Linked DNA regions of Rattus norvegicus. The protein of the gene in region 2 interacts with the protein of the main gene of each other region in a biochemical or structural test. Links are inferred from orthologs where the notes say so. Each region holds a gene or a part of one and is shown on either strand. Other genes may lie near its edges.

Region 1 (6,077 bases), on a different chromosome or scaffold from region 2:
GTTCAGTCGTGAAATGGGAGGCTTGTTTAGACATATTGAACAAACAGATTTGGGGAATGTACAATTAATCTCAGGATGGAATTTTACTATACTCTCCTGGGGAACTGATTTTAATGAAGAAAAGCAAAACAAAACAAACAGCAAAAAGACCTCTATCCATTCGGGTGTTATAACTCTGTTAGGAAGTTAAATGGAAGTTAGGAGGTTTGCCTTTCCTGCCCACCCAGAACTTCTGCTGAAAAGGATCTAGGTACTTCTGCGAGAGAGATAATAATTACTTCAGGAGCCCTTTTATACATCTTTGCTTAAGCACCAACTTTCCCCCCCATCCTAAGCAGCCACTGGAGAGCTGGGAGCCCACTGTGGTTTTCGATGGGGACACAAACATAAACTGTGGAAGCCACTCACCGTATTTCAAGTGGGTGACATCGTCCCGTGGGTCATTCCTTCCTTCCGGTCTGTGGTCTGTTTTTCTGTGAGAAGTTGTTCCTGAGTTACCTGGCTCCAACACTCTCTTTGGCTCTCCTTGGCAGAAGATACCACAATCCCTTCTTCCATCCAGTGCAGCAGATGGGCTCTTGGGGGTGCCTAAGTTGTCTGGAATACCTTGAATCCGGCTGTGAAAATTTAGGGCAGATCTGGGGCTCTCTGTTGGTGACCACCTTATTTGGTTTAGAGGCATTTTGCTCTGCGATTGAGTCATGAAGAGACATTAAAAGGCTGCCAGTCTGTGCTTTGAAGCAGACACTCAGTCTCTTCTGTCATCACGGACCCCTTACAGACAGACACACGGCACATAACCTCGGTTGCGCTGCACTGCTGCTTTATTGCACATGGACCAATTCCCCACATGGTACTTAGTCGCACCAGAGTATAAATACTTGGTCACACACACAAGAAGAGATAGAATATACACACGAATGCTAAATTTTACCAGCAGATTCACGTGGGCACTTGGACATTAAAAAATTATAATAAAAATACGTAAGATAATAATATTTATAATATGGATACAGTTACAGTACCATGATAAGAGTATAAAAAGTGATTTCCCAATAAATCATCAACTCAATAACATAATAGACAAGAGAAACTGAGTTTGAATTTTATTTTTTAGCATTTTAAAGATCTGCCCACCTCCCCGTCCCATTAAAAATATTTAATTTTTTGTGCAAGTTAACAACTTCTATGGATTTTACAATGTCTAACACTGTGCAAAATGGCCTTTCAACCACTGCCTTTTTTTTTTTTGTCATCTTTGTTTTTAGCCACATGTGCAATAATCCCAACTGTTTCCTTTTGTTCTGTCCTATCTTTAGTTGACAGAATCACATGTCACAGAGAGAGACTCAGCGCCTGGTCCTTCCAACTAATATTGATACATAAATAAGCTGTTTAATATAAACAAGTCTTTCTATCTTGCTGTGCAATATGCACAGAGTGAGGTAGAGGACCCACAGCAGGACCACCGAGGCGCGCAGGGGACAGGGTTTGCCCTCCAGGAGAAAGCAAGGTGAACCGTGCTCCACAAATAGTTTCTCGAAACCAGATTGGTCTGTTTCTCAGCCACCTTTCCCCCCTTTGCTTTAAGGAGACACCAATACTCCGGAATTAATATGCAATTTCTTTAGAAAGCAAAAGGAAACACTTCCTGGCTAATTATCACCGCTCCTGCCCCCACCCCAAACCAGAGCTGAACACTTAGGTTCCTAGGTGTGAAGTCAGAAGGCCAGGTGATAGACTCCACCCTCCCCCTTCCCCTCCCCTCCTAGTTTCCACTCGGGTCCTTGCAGAAAGTGTCAAAACCCACGGGGGGGGGGTGCCTAAAGGTGCATTAAACACACGAAAGGCCGAACCTCAGAGAGAAAGGAACTCAAGACAAGCCAGTAAGCCACACTAAGCCACACTCTCCCAACTACTCCCAAACTTTCCTTTTTGCGCAACGCTCGGTCCCGGGCTTTTCTGTACGTCTCGGATGATTCAAAAGATCTGTGGGCTTCGCATTCACCTGCTTTCGGTCTTGAGTAAACAGAAACCTCCTCTCTCCCCTGGGGAGCGGCTCAGGGGCGCCCAGGCGGGCTCTCTTCCTCTAGGGATGCAGAGCCCGTGTCCAGCCCGGGACTATGGGGAGCGGCGTCCGTGCGCCCGGAGAGCCTGGCCCTCTACACCTTGGACTCGGAGGAGAAGCCCTGGCGTCCCGGCTCGTCCAGGCTCGAATCGCTGTCCACAGTGGTCGTCCCGCCGTTGCAGCCGGCCCAGGGCTCCAACAGGCGCGCGGGTGGGGTGGCCCCGGCGTCATCGTCGTCGTCGTCCGAAGGAGCCCCGGGGGACGGCGGCGGCCCAGCTCTCGCCAGGCAGCCCGAGGCGCGCGGCCGGTCCCCGTGGGCTGCGCGGCGTCTGCAGGCGGCCCGGCGCGCGCAGCAAAGCAGGCGCTGGAAAGCCTTGCGGAAGTCGGGGCTGCGGCAGTAGATGATGGGGTTGAAGGCCGAGTTGGCGTAGCCCAGCCAGTTGAAGAAGACGAAGAGGCGATCCGGCACCAGGTCGCGGTGGAAAGCTTTCACCACGTTGGCCAGGAAGAAGGGCAGCCAGCAGAGCGTGAACACACCCATGATGATGCCCAGTGTCTTGAGCGCCTTCTGCTCTCGCAGAGCCACGAGGCGCGACGGCCGCCGCTTGCTGGAGCGCCCGTTGGCCAGCGAGTCTGCGGGGCGCGGTGGCCCTGGTGATGGCGAGGGCGCGGGCGAGGGCGGCCGGGGCGGGCCGCTGAGGAAGCGGCGCTCGCAGCTGTCGATCTTCTTCACCTGTTTCTGGGCCTCGCGGAACACCCGGAGGTACACGAAGGCCATGATGCACAGGGGCACGTAGAAGGAGACGACGGACGAGGCGATGGCGTAGGCCCGGTTGGTGACGAAATCGCAGCACTTGGGGTCGTTGTAGCAGCGGCGCGCTTCGTCGCTCTCGGCCCGCCACCAGTGCATGAGGATGGGCAGGAAGGACACCAGCGCGGAGATGGCCCACACTGTGCACACGAGGGCCCGCGCTCGCGCGCGCGTCAGCAGGCTCTGGTAGCGAAAGGGCGACGTGATGGCGAGGTAGCGGTCCAGGGCGATGACACACAGGGTCTCGATGCTGGCCGTCACACATAGCACGTCTACCGAAGTCCAGAGCTCACAGAAGAAGGAGCCGTACTCCCAGCGGCCCCACACCACAATGGTGGCCCCGAAAGGCACCACCAGCAGTCCCATGACCAGATCGGCGCTGGCCAGGGACATGATGAAGAGGTTGGTGAGCGTCTGCAGCCGCGGGGTCTTGGCGATGGCCACGATCACCAACACGTTGCCCACTACGATGAGCAGCACGATGAGCGCCAGGAGTAGGCCCATACCCGCGGTCCACTGCTGCGACAGCGGCGCTGAGCCCTCGCTGGCTGGAGGCAGCAGCGAGGCGGGAGGCGACGCGAGCACCAGCAGTCGTGCCGCGGTGGCCGCGCCGTCGGGCAGCGGCGCGGCCGACGACAGGTTGCAGGGTTCGGAGGCGCCCAGGGCGAGCGCCCCCGCGCCCATGCCGAGCTTCGGAGGCCGGGGGCGGGGGGTGTGGCGGGACTGGGCCGCGCCTGGGAAGCACCCCAGGAGCCGGGGCTGCGGGGCCCGCGCGGGGAGGTCGCGGCCAGGTCAGGGCAGCCGCGGCTTGGGGCCGGAGGCATGGACGCCGGGCGCCTTCTCCTCCGTAGCCAAGCGCTGTCGCCGCCGCCGCCGCCGCCGCTGCTGCTGGAGCCGCTGTCGCTGCTGGAAGAGCCGCCGGGACCTCAGCATGTTTCTGAGCGCGCGGGGCCGGCGGCTCCAACACCCAGCACCTCCCCCCCACCTCGCTCCCTACCCCCCAGCCAGCCCCCGGGGCCGCGCGTCAGGCTCCCGCAGCCAATCGTCGCCAAGGCACGCCCCCGAACAATGGTGTCCCCACCCCCAACACCCAGCACCCCCTCCTACCGCGATTGAAAGGCTCCAAAGATTGCGGGTGGACTACGCAGCCGGCACCCACGGGCTGCAGCGAGCGCGCCCTTTCCTGCTCAGGCTTCTTCCAGAGTCTGGTCTGCTGCGCCCTCTGCGGTGCCCCGCCGCCTCCTGTGCCCACCCCCACCGCCCAAGTGGTGTCCGCTTGCCCTAGCACCCAGCTCTCATTTTGCCGCTCCCGCAAGAGCGCCCGTTTCCCTTCGGCGCCCCGTAGCGCCCTCGCCTTTCTACCTCTAGTGCATGGTTCCTGGTAGCTAGAAGGGAAACTTGCTGGCGTTCCGGAGATGCCTTGGACAGCCTATCTGCTGGGATTGGGGAATTTAGCTGTGAGACTGGTTCTGCCATCAGGCAGCCTGGCTCTTCCCTGATCGCGAGGGGACCCGGCCAGAATGACAGCTTGGGGAATAGGAAGTGGGTGTTAGTTATTAGAGGAAACTTTGCAGCCAGGCGGATTGCTGGAGCAGAGTGCGCATCTGTCAGAAAGGCTCTCTGGGCGCTGTTCTTGCGCAGAGCTGTGCTCTCTCTCCCTCAAGTGCAGTGGATGGGGAAAGGAAGGGAAGGTTTGTGGCTGTAACTGCCAACGCCAAGGACCAGTTGGACACACACAGTTCCCAATCCCAGCTAAGGAAAAGGATGCGATGAGTTCTGAGTATAAAGGAGAAGTTTAGGGCAACATTAAGTCCGGAGTAAATGACACCGCCCCACCCCCAACCCCCACCCCGCCTAGAAAGAACTCAGAGAATGACGCTTCAGACTTTTTGACTCCAGTACCAACACCTTAACACCCGCGTTTGTACTCTGGTACCCATGGGATTTTATAATCTGAGCTGAGTCAACACAAGGTACTATCCCTTTTTGGTTGACGTCATGAACTGGGATTTCAGACTTCTTGGTAGGGTGGCTAGATTCTCAAAATTGCGGGATCAGCTTTGGGAAGAGCTTTGGGAAGCAAGAAAATATATAAATACGCGAGGCGATTAAATCGGAAAGCATTTAAAGTCACGCCGCATTTCCCCCTTCACATTGTCGAGTGAATCTGAAACTAGAGTGTTTGACTTCACTCCTGATGGAAGCTGAGGATGAACCTCAGGCTGTGGTCCTCTGATCTGCCCCCTGGGAATGCCTCCACCTCGGGCCATAAGAAGGAAATCTGCAATTAAGTTCTTGAGAAGCAAACAGTTCCCAATTGTCTCTGAAGGGAAGGGTGCACGGTCGTGTTATATAATGTTATGTAATGCTCTGGAGTCTCTCTTGCTTTGGAATAAAAAGATTAGCATCTGGGAGGAGCATCAACATGTGGCCAAGCTGGTACTCTCTCACCTTGCCAAAAGACCAGCCTGGCAACTGCCCACCTGCAGCCTAACTCTTGGTAAAGTCAAATCTGTGGATGTGATTTAGACTCAGGTTTGACCACCTGGGAAGTGATTTACCCCTGCCCTGGAATTAGCAGGCCTCAGTTCTGCCAACTTGGGGAGTTTTGAGAATCTGGGAACGGGAACTCCACAGAGGGCAGAAGCACCCATAGTCACCCCAGCCTTTTCAAACAAGGGTCTTTCCTTCCCCAGGCTTTTAAGGGATGTCTGGAAGGGCTCAAAGGGCAATCTGAAAACAGCCAGTGTTTTGGAATGAGTTGATATTAAGGCTGATCAAGAAAGGGCCTCTGGGTGCTGGGGTGCGGAGAAATGTGGAAAGAGGCTTTCTGCTAAGTAGTGCTATTGGGATGCAGTGTGTCAACCTCGTGTCCCCAGGACATGGCATTCCTGGGGATGATAAGGCCAGAACTGACTCGTAGAGATTTAAGTCAGGAGCTGGGGCTAGTTAACCTTGTGGTATTTATATGTATAAACACATCAGGCAACAGGACCCTGATTCACGATTGGGTGACTGGCCTGGACCTTTCCCCCTTGATTATTTGGTGTTGCATCAAGTGATTTCTGTGGAATAAATACATTCAAGTGTAAGCGTTCAAAACCCAGGAGGCTTTTGTAGCAGGGCCTTCAATAGAGGGCTGCAGTGGACAGGAGTCTCAGATATTCTTAGGGACTTTCCTTAGCTGTCCTGACAGGT
Region 2 (6,225 bases):
GTCAAGTGAACAAAATCTTACTAGGAAAGAGAAGGGTTTAGATTCTGATTCCGATATCTGCAGGCAAGTCAATACAGTGTGGACTGGGAACTAACACAGAGCTCTGCAGCTCTGTCAGCCTAAGGATGGTGAGAAGGGGCCTCCTAAGGAAAGCGGCTGAATCACTGTTTTTCTTTTGTCCCAAAAAGGAGAAGGCCTAAATCTATGGCCACACTATACTGAGTCCTGCTATGACGTGTGCTAAGTAATATGGGTAACAGGGAAGAGCTCAAGGCAGTGATTGGATAGAGCTGTGAAGACAATCAAAAGGGTCTGGATGCAGATGCATGAGATTATTGTTACAGTGGTTAGATGCATAACTTTATAAGATATAAAAACGGAGGTAGGTAAAATCTATCATTGCCTGCCTCCCTCTCCCCACCTGTAAAGAAGTCTACAATATAACCATAGTATAAAACCTGATAACCAATTAGAACTTTAAATATCAGAACACACAGTGATGGTAATGTGTAACTGGTGTTAAACAAATGCCATCCCATTTGCTATGACTGTCACTTTCCACTCAGGATGGTGCTTCATAATCCTCAGCCTAACTTCAGATGAGACTGGGCTTCCAATGGACACCTCGCTGGTTCCTGAACACTCCTGAAGGCCAATGACTGGGTAGCCCTCACCAGTCATAGCTAACTTTCTGGACATCCATTTTCTCAAGTGGAAAAGGCATGAAGTCGAGCAAATCCACCCTTTGTAAAGATCTTCAGTTCTGACCTAATTTGCTGTGGTCTCTATGAGGGGTGGGGGTGGAGCGGAAAAGGAAGGACCTGCTGTTCAAAGCTAACCTGTGCAGGGCAGCCCTTTCCCTGCCTTGCCTGATTTTCTCCTCACTGCATCAGGCCCCGTTAGTATTGTTAACCCTATTTAAAAAGAAGCGAAGAGAGAAAGGTGAAGGCGCCTGCTAAATGTGGGACTCCTGCAAAGCCCCGCAGCAAAGCCAGGATTCAAACCCCCTCTTTTCTGTCTGGGTCAGCTAAGCCTTTTGAACTGCACTGCTTCCCTCCCACACTCTATTCCAGACATAAGGATCTTAACCGCTGATAATTCCCGTGCTCTGATTTTACAAAGACGAGTGGGTGAGTGATTTTTTTTTTGTCTGAAACGTATTATTTCAAATTTAAGCAAATGAAATTTAAGCTATGGAAACTCAAAAAGCACCACTCAGGGTTTCCCTGGAGAAATCAGCGGCCCTCAGCTTCCTGTGCCTTGCTTAGTTTTCCACCTGGCTCTAAGAAGGGGAAGGAGCTAGATGGGGGTACAGCGAGCTGAGTTCATGCTCCATCACCAGCCTTCTTTCCCTTCCTGTAGCAGAGGTTGTTTGTCTGATTAAACTAAGGCTTGACTCCTGTCCAGATTAAACTCTCCATGTCTATGTCCAGTCTCTTACACCAGTTATCTCCTTAACACCTCCCCCACCGCCCCTTTCCAGTTTTCAACTCGGGCAGGTGCCCTCTACCCAGTCTCCACTCAATCCTCTTCAGTTTCTTCCCAGGGGACACATGGCCCTGCTCTGCAGATGTTATTTCACCTTCTTCTTGCAGCCAGGACGACCAGACTCGTTCCTCTAACTTTCCTCTATCAGAGGGCCACTTCTGAGAACTTTGCGAGGAACGTAAAGACTGTAAAAGTGGAGCGAGCCAACAGTGAAGTCTCTCTCCACCGGCTCCGGCTGGGCTGCCAGGCCCTCTGCAGTTCCACTCTAGGACTCCGAACTCCAGCTTCCTCGCGTTGGGATGGAGCCCCAGAAGACTGGAGGCGCTGCAGATGGGCCACCCGGCACCGGGCTTGCCCTCGGGTCCCCGGATTTCTGCTTTGTCCCTGCTGGGGTGTGAGCAAGTCCGGGCGTCCTGCAGGCGAGCAGCCCGGCTCGCAGGGAAGCTATAGACAGGTCCACCCAAGGATCCAGGCTCTTCTCGCCGGCCTGCCCACGCCGGGCCTCCGCTCCCCTCCTTCCCGGCTCCCGCCTCCTCCCGAAGGCTGCGGGGCGGCCCGGGGCCTGCCTCTCCCCGCGCCTTCACTACCGGGTCAAGCCGCGGAGGGAGGGAAACCGCGGCGAAGCCCTCCCTGGCGCTCCACCCGGTGCGCGCGCCTCCTCCCTCCGCTCGCATCCCCTATCCCCCCCCCCACCCGAACCCCCCTCTGCCGCCCGCTTACATCCTGCCAGTACAGTACAACTAGTACACAGGCTCACACGCGCACACGCGCACACACACGCGTTCCCTACCGCTGCCACTGCAGCTGCCATGGATATCGGCTAACAACACAGAGGCCGGCGAGCGCGCGCGCGCTCCCCACTCGCAGCACGCAGGAGTGGCCCCCGGCATCCCTACCCTCCTCCCCACCCCCACGCCACCCGCTCACCAGCTCGGCCACTGCTCGCGCTGGCTCGGCCGCCGCCACCGCCGCTAACGCCGCCAACGCCACCACAGCTTCCTCCGCTGCGGGGCCAAAGCCTTGAGTGTCATTCAAGGGACAGCACAACCTCACCCAAGCTCTCCTACCTCTGCCCAGCCGTCCCTCTCATCCTCCCCCTTCCTCCGCCACACTCCATCCAAAGAAGAGGGAAAGCGCGGAGCAGAGGGAGAGAAAGGCAAAGTCTGCCACCCTCTTCCCTTGGCCCCCTTGCTCCTCCATCCCGATTTTGACTCCCAGACCCTCCTTCCCAACGGACCCTCAGGAACTGAGGAGACTCACCCTACTGCCATGTCCAAAAGCTTGAAAAAGAAAAGCCACTGGACTAGCAAAGTCCACGAGAGTGTCATTGGCAGAAACCCGGAGGGCCAGCTGGGCTTTGAACTGAAGGGGGGCGCCGAAAACGGACAGTTCCCCTACCTGGGGGAGGTGAAGCCGGGCAAGGTGGCCTATGAAAGCGGCAGCAAGTTGGTGTCCGAGGAGCTGCTGCTGGAGGTGAACGAGACCCCCGTGGCGGGGCTCACCATCAGGGATGTTCTGGCCGTGATCAAACACTGCAAGGACCCCCTCCGGCTCAAGTGTGTCAAGCAAGGTGAGCGCAGCTTGCTCGGTGCTCTGCCGGGTGGTGGGACCCCGGCGTGGGGAGGGCATCAATAGGGTGGGCGCGGGGGTTGGATGGGTGAATGCTGCGCCACCGCGGGGTGGGGTCCAGAGAGCATCCTAACTGTGTTCGGAGCAATAGTGGGACGGGGGCAGGGGGACTGGTAGGCTGGCTGAGCCAGGTGGCAGTGTAGCAGGCAACTTAGTTTGCCTAGTTGGACCCTCCCCTTTGGAAGATGCTTGGCCTTGTCCGACCTCCTCTGAGCTCCAGGGCCAAATAGAATGTGCGTCAGTGGCATGCCCACAGTGGACATAGAGCTTTCGGGGAAGGAAAAAAAGCCAGGGGTGAGGAAGAAAGGAAGATGGAGCAACTTGAGGTGCAGAGGTGTCACTAGGGAGGTTGGGAAAAGCTCTGAATATTGGGGCAAGTGGAGAATGCTTGCAGTATATCCAAAAGTAGTCTGGAGACACCTTGGTCAGTAGCGGTTCCCTAGGGACCCCTGAGCCACTGGCTGACAAGGAAGGAAATGAATAAATTGGTTTGGACGCTCTGACCAGTGTTCAGTAACTTTTTCCCTGCTTCACTCCTTTCTCCCCCGCCCATGGTCTTGTCATGTGGGCACCGGGAGTCACGTGCAGACTGACTAACCCTAGAGATCCCTCTGGCCAGCAGGCAGGAGGAGGGGCAGAGATTAATGCTAGGAGCTGGGAGAGCTAGTTTGTAGTGTTGGTGGGGAGGCAGACTGCAGCAATCAAGCGTTCCCCCGAAGTGCTCTTCATTGACTGGGATTTTCTTCTTGACTAGGATTTCTCTGTGGTTGGGCTCTCCTCTAGCTTCAGACCCGGGGGCATGTTTGTAGCACGGAGGTGGATGGAGAGGCAAGTTGGTCACAGCTCAGGCTCCCTGTGTATAACTTGGCTTTGATGAGCTTCTTTCAGGGCTGGGAAGTGAATTTAGAGAGATTGGAATCTTGCTGAACAATGAATGTCTTGGCTTGAAATAAAAATTGTGGCCCTGAGGGAGGAAAGCCTGAGATAAAAGTTTCATTAGAAGAGACTTTATTTTACAAATGTAGCATGTCTTTGTGTTCCTCTGGTGGTAATGCAGTTTCCTGGGTGGCACAGGTGGAGAGGACAGATGTGTCTCACTCATACCAGCGTTATTGGTATGACAGTTTGTTGTCTATTGTTACTCTGTCTTGCGCCAGTGTTGAAATTCTGAGTATCACTGTATTCTGAATTGCTATTCATGCTGCGATCCATTATGAAGAAATACCACAGAGCAGTTGTGGATTTTTTTTCCAGCATAAAACAAAACAAAACAAAACAAAACAAAAACTTTCGAAGTAAACGACCTAGAAGAAAGGTTGATAAACTTCCCCAAAGCTAAGCTGTCACGGAGGAAAACATCTTCAGTGGAATTTCTGGAGTGTTCATCCTCTATCATTTTAGATCATCTAACGCAAACGTGCGGTATTGTGTGACACCGAAGAAGATGGGTCAGATATTAGAGTAACCTCCAGTTGTGACATACTTTGAACTCACATTCAGAAAGTTGTGCTCATGCATTTTATGTTAACAGAGTGGATCATAGCAAATAACAAATGCAGAGTTCAAGGTTAGAGGCCAAGAAATCTACCACAATTGACCATCGACCGTTATTTGGTGGCAAAAATACTGGTATTTGCAAAGGAAAGCAACGGCAAAAGTTAATGTTTATACTTATTTGTTTATGGGTTGATGGTTTATGGATGGATGAATGGATGGATGGGATGGAGGGTGGATATGCCCATTGTGTGATATGGAAATGAGAAAACAGCCCTTGCCAATCAGTTCTCCTCTAATGTTCTGGGGGTCAGAGATGGGAAATTAGCCTTGGTGAGAAGCTTTTCCTGAGATGAGCCTCACCAGCCCAAGTTAACACACTTCCACAGTGATTTTTTTCCTTGTGGTTTCCACTGACCATTTTATTTCTGCATTTTACTCTGATGTCTACATCTTGAGATAGACTTTGCCCAACTCTAACACTCGTAAACGATAAATGTTTATTAGTATTAATGTAATTAATGATTAAAAGAAAATATCTGGTACTAGCCACTTAGCAATTGACATCCAGAGAGACAATGAAAGAGTGAAGGCACAAAAGTTGTGCACATAGGGAATCTTAGATAAGAAATGGGATTTTTTTTTTGCCTATTCTGTGATAAATGATAAAACTAGGGCGAATTTGGCAAGTCTTTCCCTTGGGGAAGCAGAATCTTTAGCAGAGCAGAGCTGTGAGCAATGTTGTAAGATGAGGTTTCCCTTATTCTGGATCTTGGCAAAGAAGCAGAAAGATCCACAGAGGTCCATCTCCATCCAGCCTTGATTTTAGCTAAAGTTGGTCCTGATCAATTAGCTTCTTGCTTATATTTTGTTTGGAAAAATATAACTGTTTAGATTCAGGAAACTTATTTTTATGGACTGAGGTATTTAGGTGAAAACCTTTTCACAGTATATGTTAACCCTTAGTCTGTCAGCATCCAGGTGTCCAATAATAGACATTCATCTACTGAATTCAAACAGATATAGATTAAATAATTAATAGCTTTTGGGAGGTTGGGGATTTAGCTCAGTGGTAGAGCGCTTGCCTAGCAAGCACAAGGCCCTGTGTTCAGTCCCCAGCTCCGGAAAAAAAAAAGAAAGAAAGAAAATAGCTTTTGGGAAATCCACAATAGTACATTTATTTAAATCTAGTGATTCCTATATATTCTGTTATGAAATTGATCTTTTATCAGCAGTGGTTAGATTTATTTAATTATAATTATGAGTAACTGAAAGTTGCAGGACACTGTATTAGAGCCCATGATTCTTGGGTTTCAGTTGGGTTTGTACTTGTTTGAAAATTGGGTAGAAGCTTAGTAGCTCTTGGCTTAGCAGTTCTATTTCTGGGGAGAAACAAGAAAAAAAGAAAAAGATAGAATAGACAGAACTTAAACATGGTTTGCTTGGGAGGTGGGTTTTTTAAATATTAATGAGATTGGTTTTAAAGGTTTAGTTAAATATTGAACATCACACAGAAACTACATGTAGCAAAACTAGGGGAGATTTTGTTAGAAATGGGAAATTTGTATAATAAATTTATTTGCACTAGCAAAATATACCCTAAATAAATTTAAA

What was found. The genes of interacting proteins can lie anywhere in the genome.
Region 1: the proteins of Magi2 (region 2) and Adrb1 interact in a test that uses a peptide from one of them, tested with the Homo sapiens proteins (4 studies listed by IntAct, with this or other methods). The link is inferred for Rattus norvegicus from reciprocal best matches to the Homo sapiens genes MAGI2 and ADRB1.

Annotation. Positions count from the first base shown.
Region 1 is NC_086019.1:265,774,844-265,780,920, reverse strand, and holds Adrb1 (beta-1 adrenergic receptor), read right to left. Parts: upstream 3,819-6,077; 5' UTR 3,564-3,818; coding exon 2,163-3,563; 3' UTR 807-2,162; downstream 1-806. UniProt on the Homo sapiens protein: Beta-adrenergic receptors mediate the catecholamine-induced activation of adenylate cyclase through the action of G proteins. This receptor binds epinephrine and norepinephrine with approximately equal affinity.
Region 2 is NC_086022.1:16,758,533-16,764,757, reverse strand, and holds the start of Magi2 (membrane-associated guanylate kinase, WW and PDZ domain-containing protein 2), read left to right. Parts: upstream 1-2,622; 5' UTR 2,623-2,757; coding exon 2,758-3,058; intron 3,059-6,225. Other genes in the region: uncharacterized protein 4921504A21Rikl, read right to left, coding at 1,583-2,162. UniProt on the Homo sapiens protein: Seems to act as a scaffold molecule at synaptic junctions by assembling neurotransmitter receptors and cell adhesion proteins. Plays a role in nerve growth factor (NGF)-induced recruitment of RAPGEF2 to late endosomes and neurite outgrowth.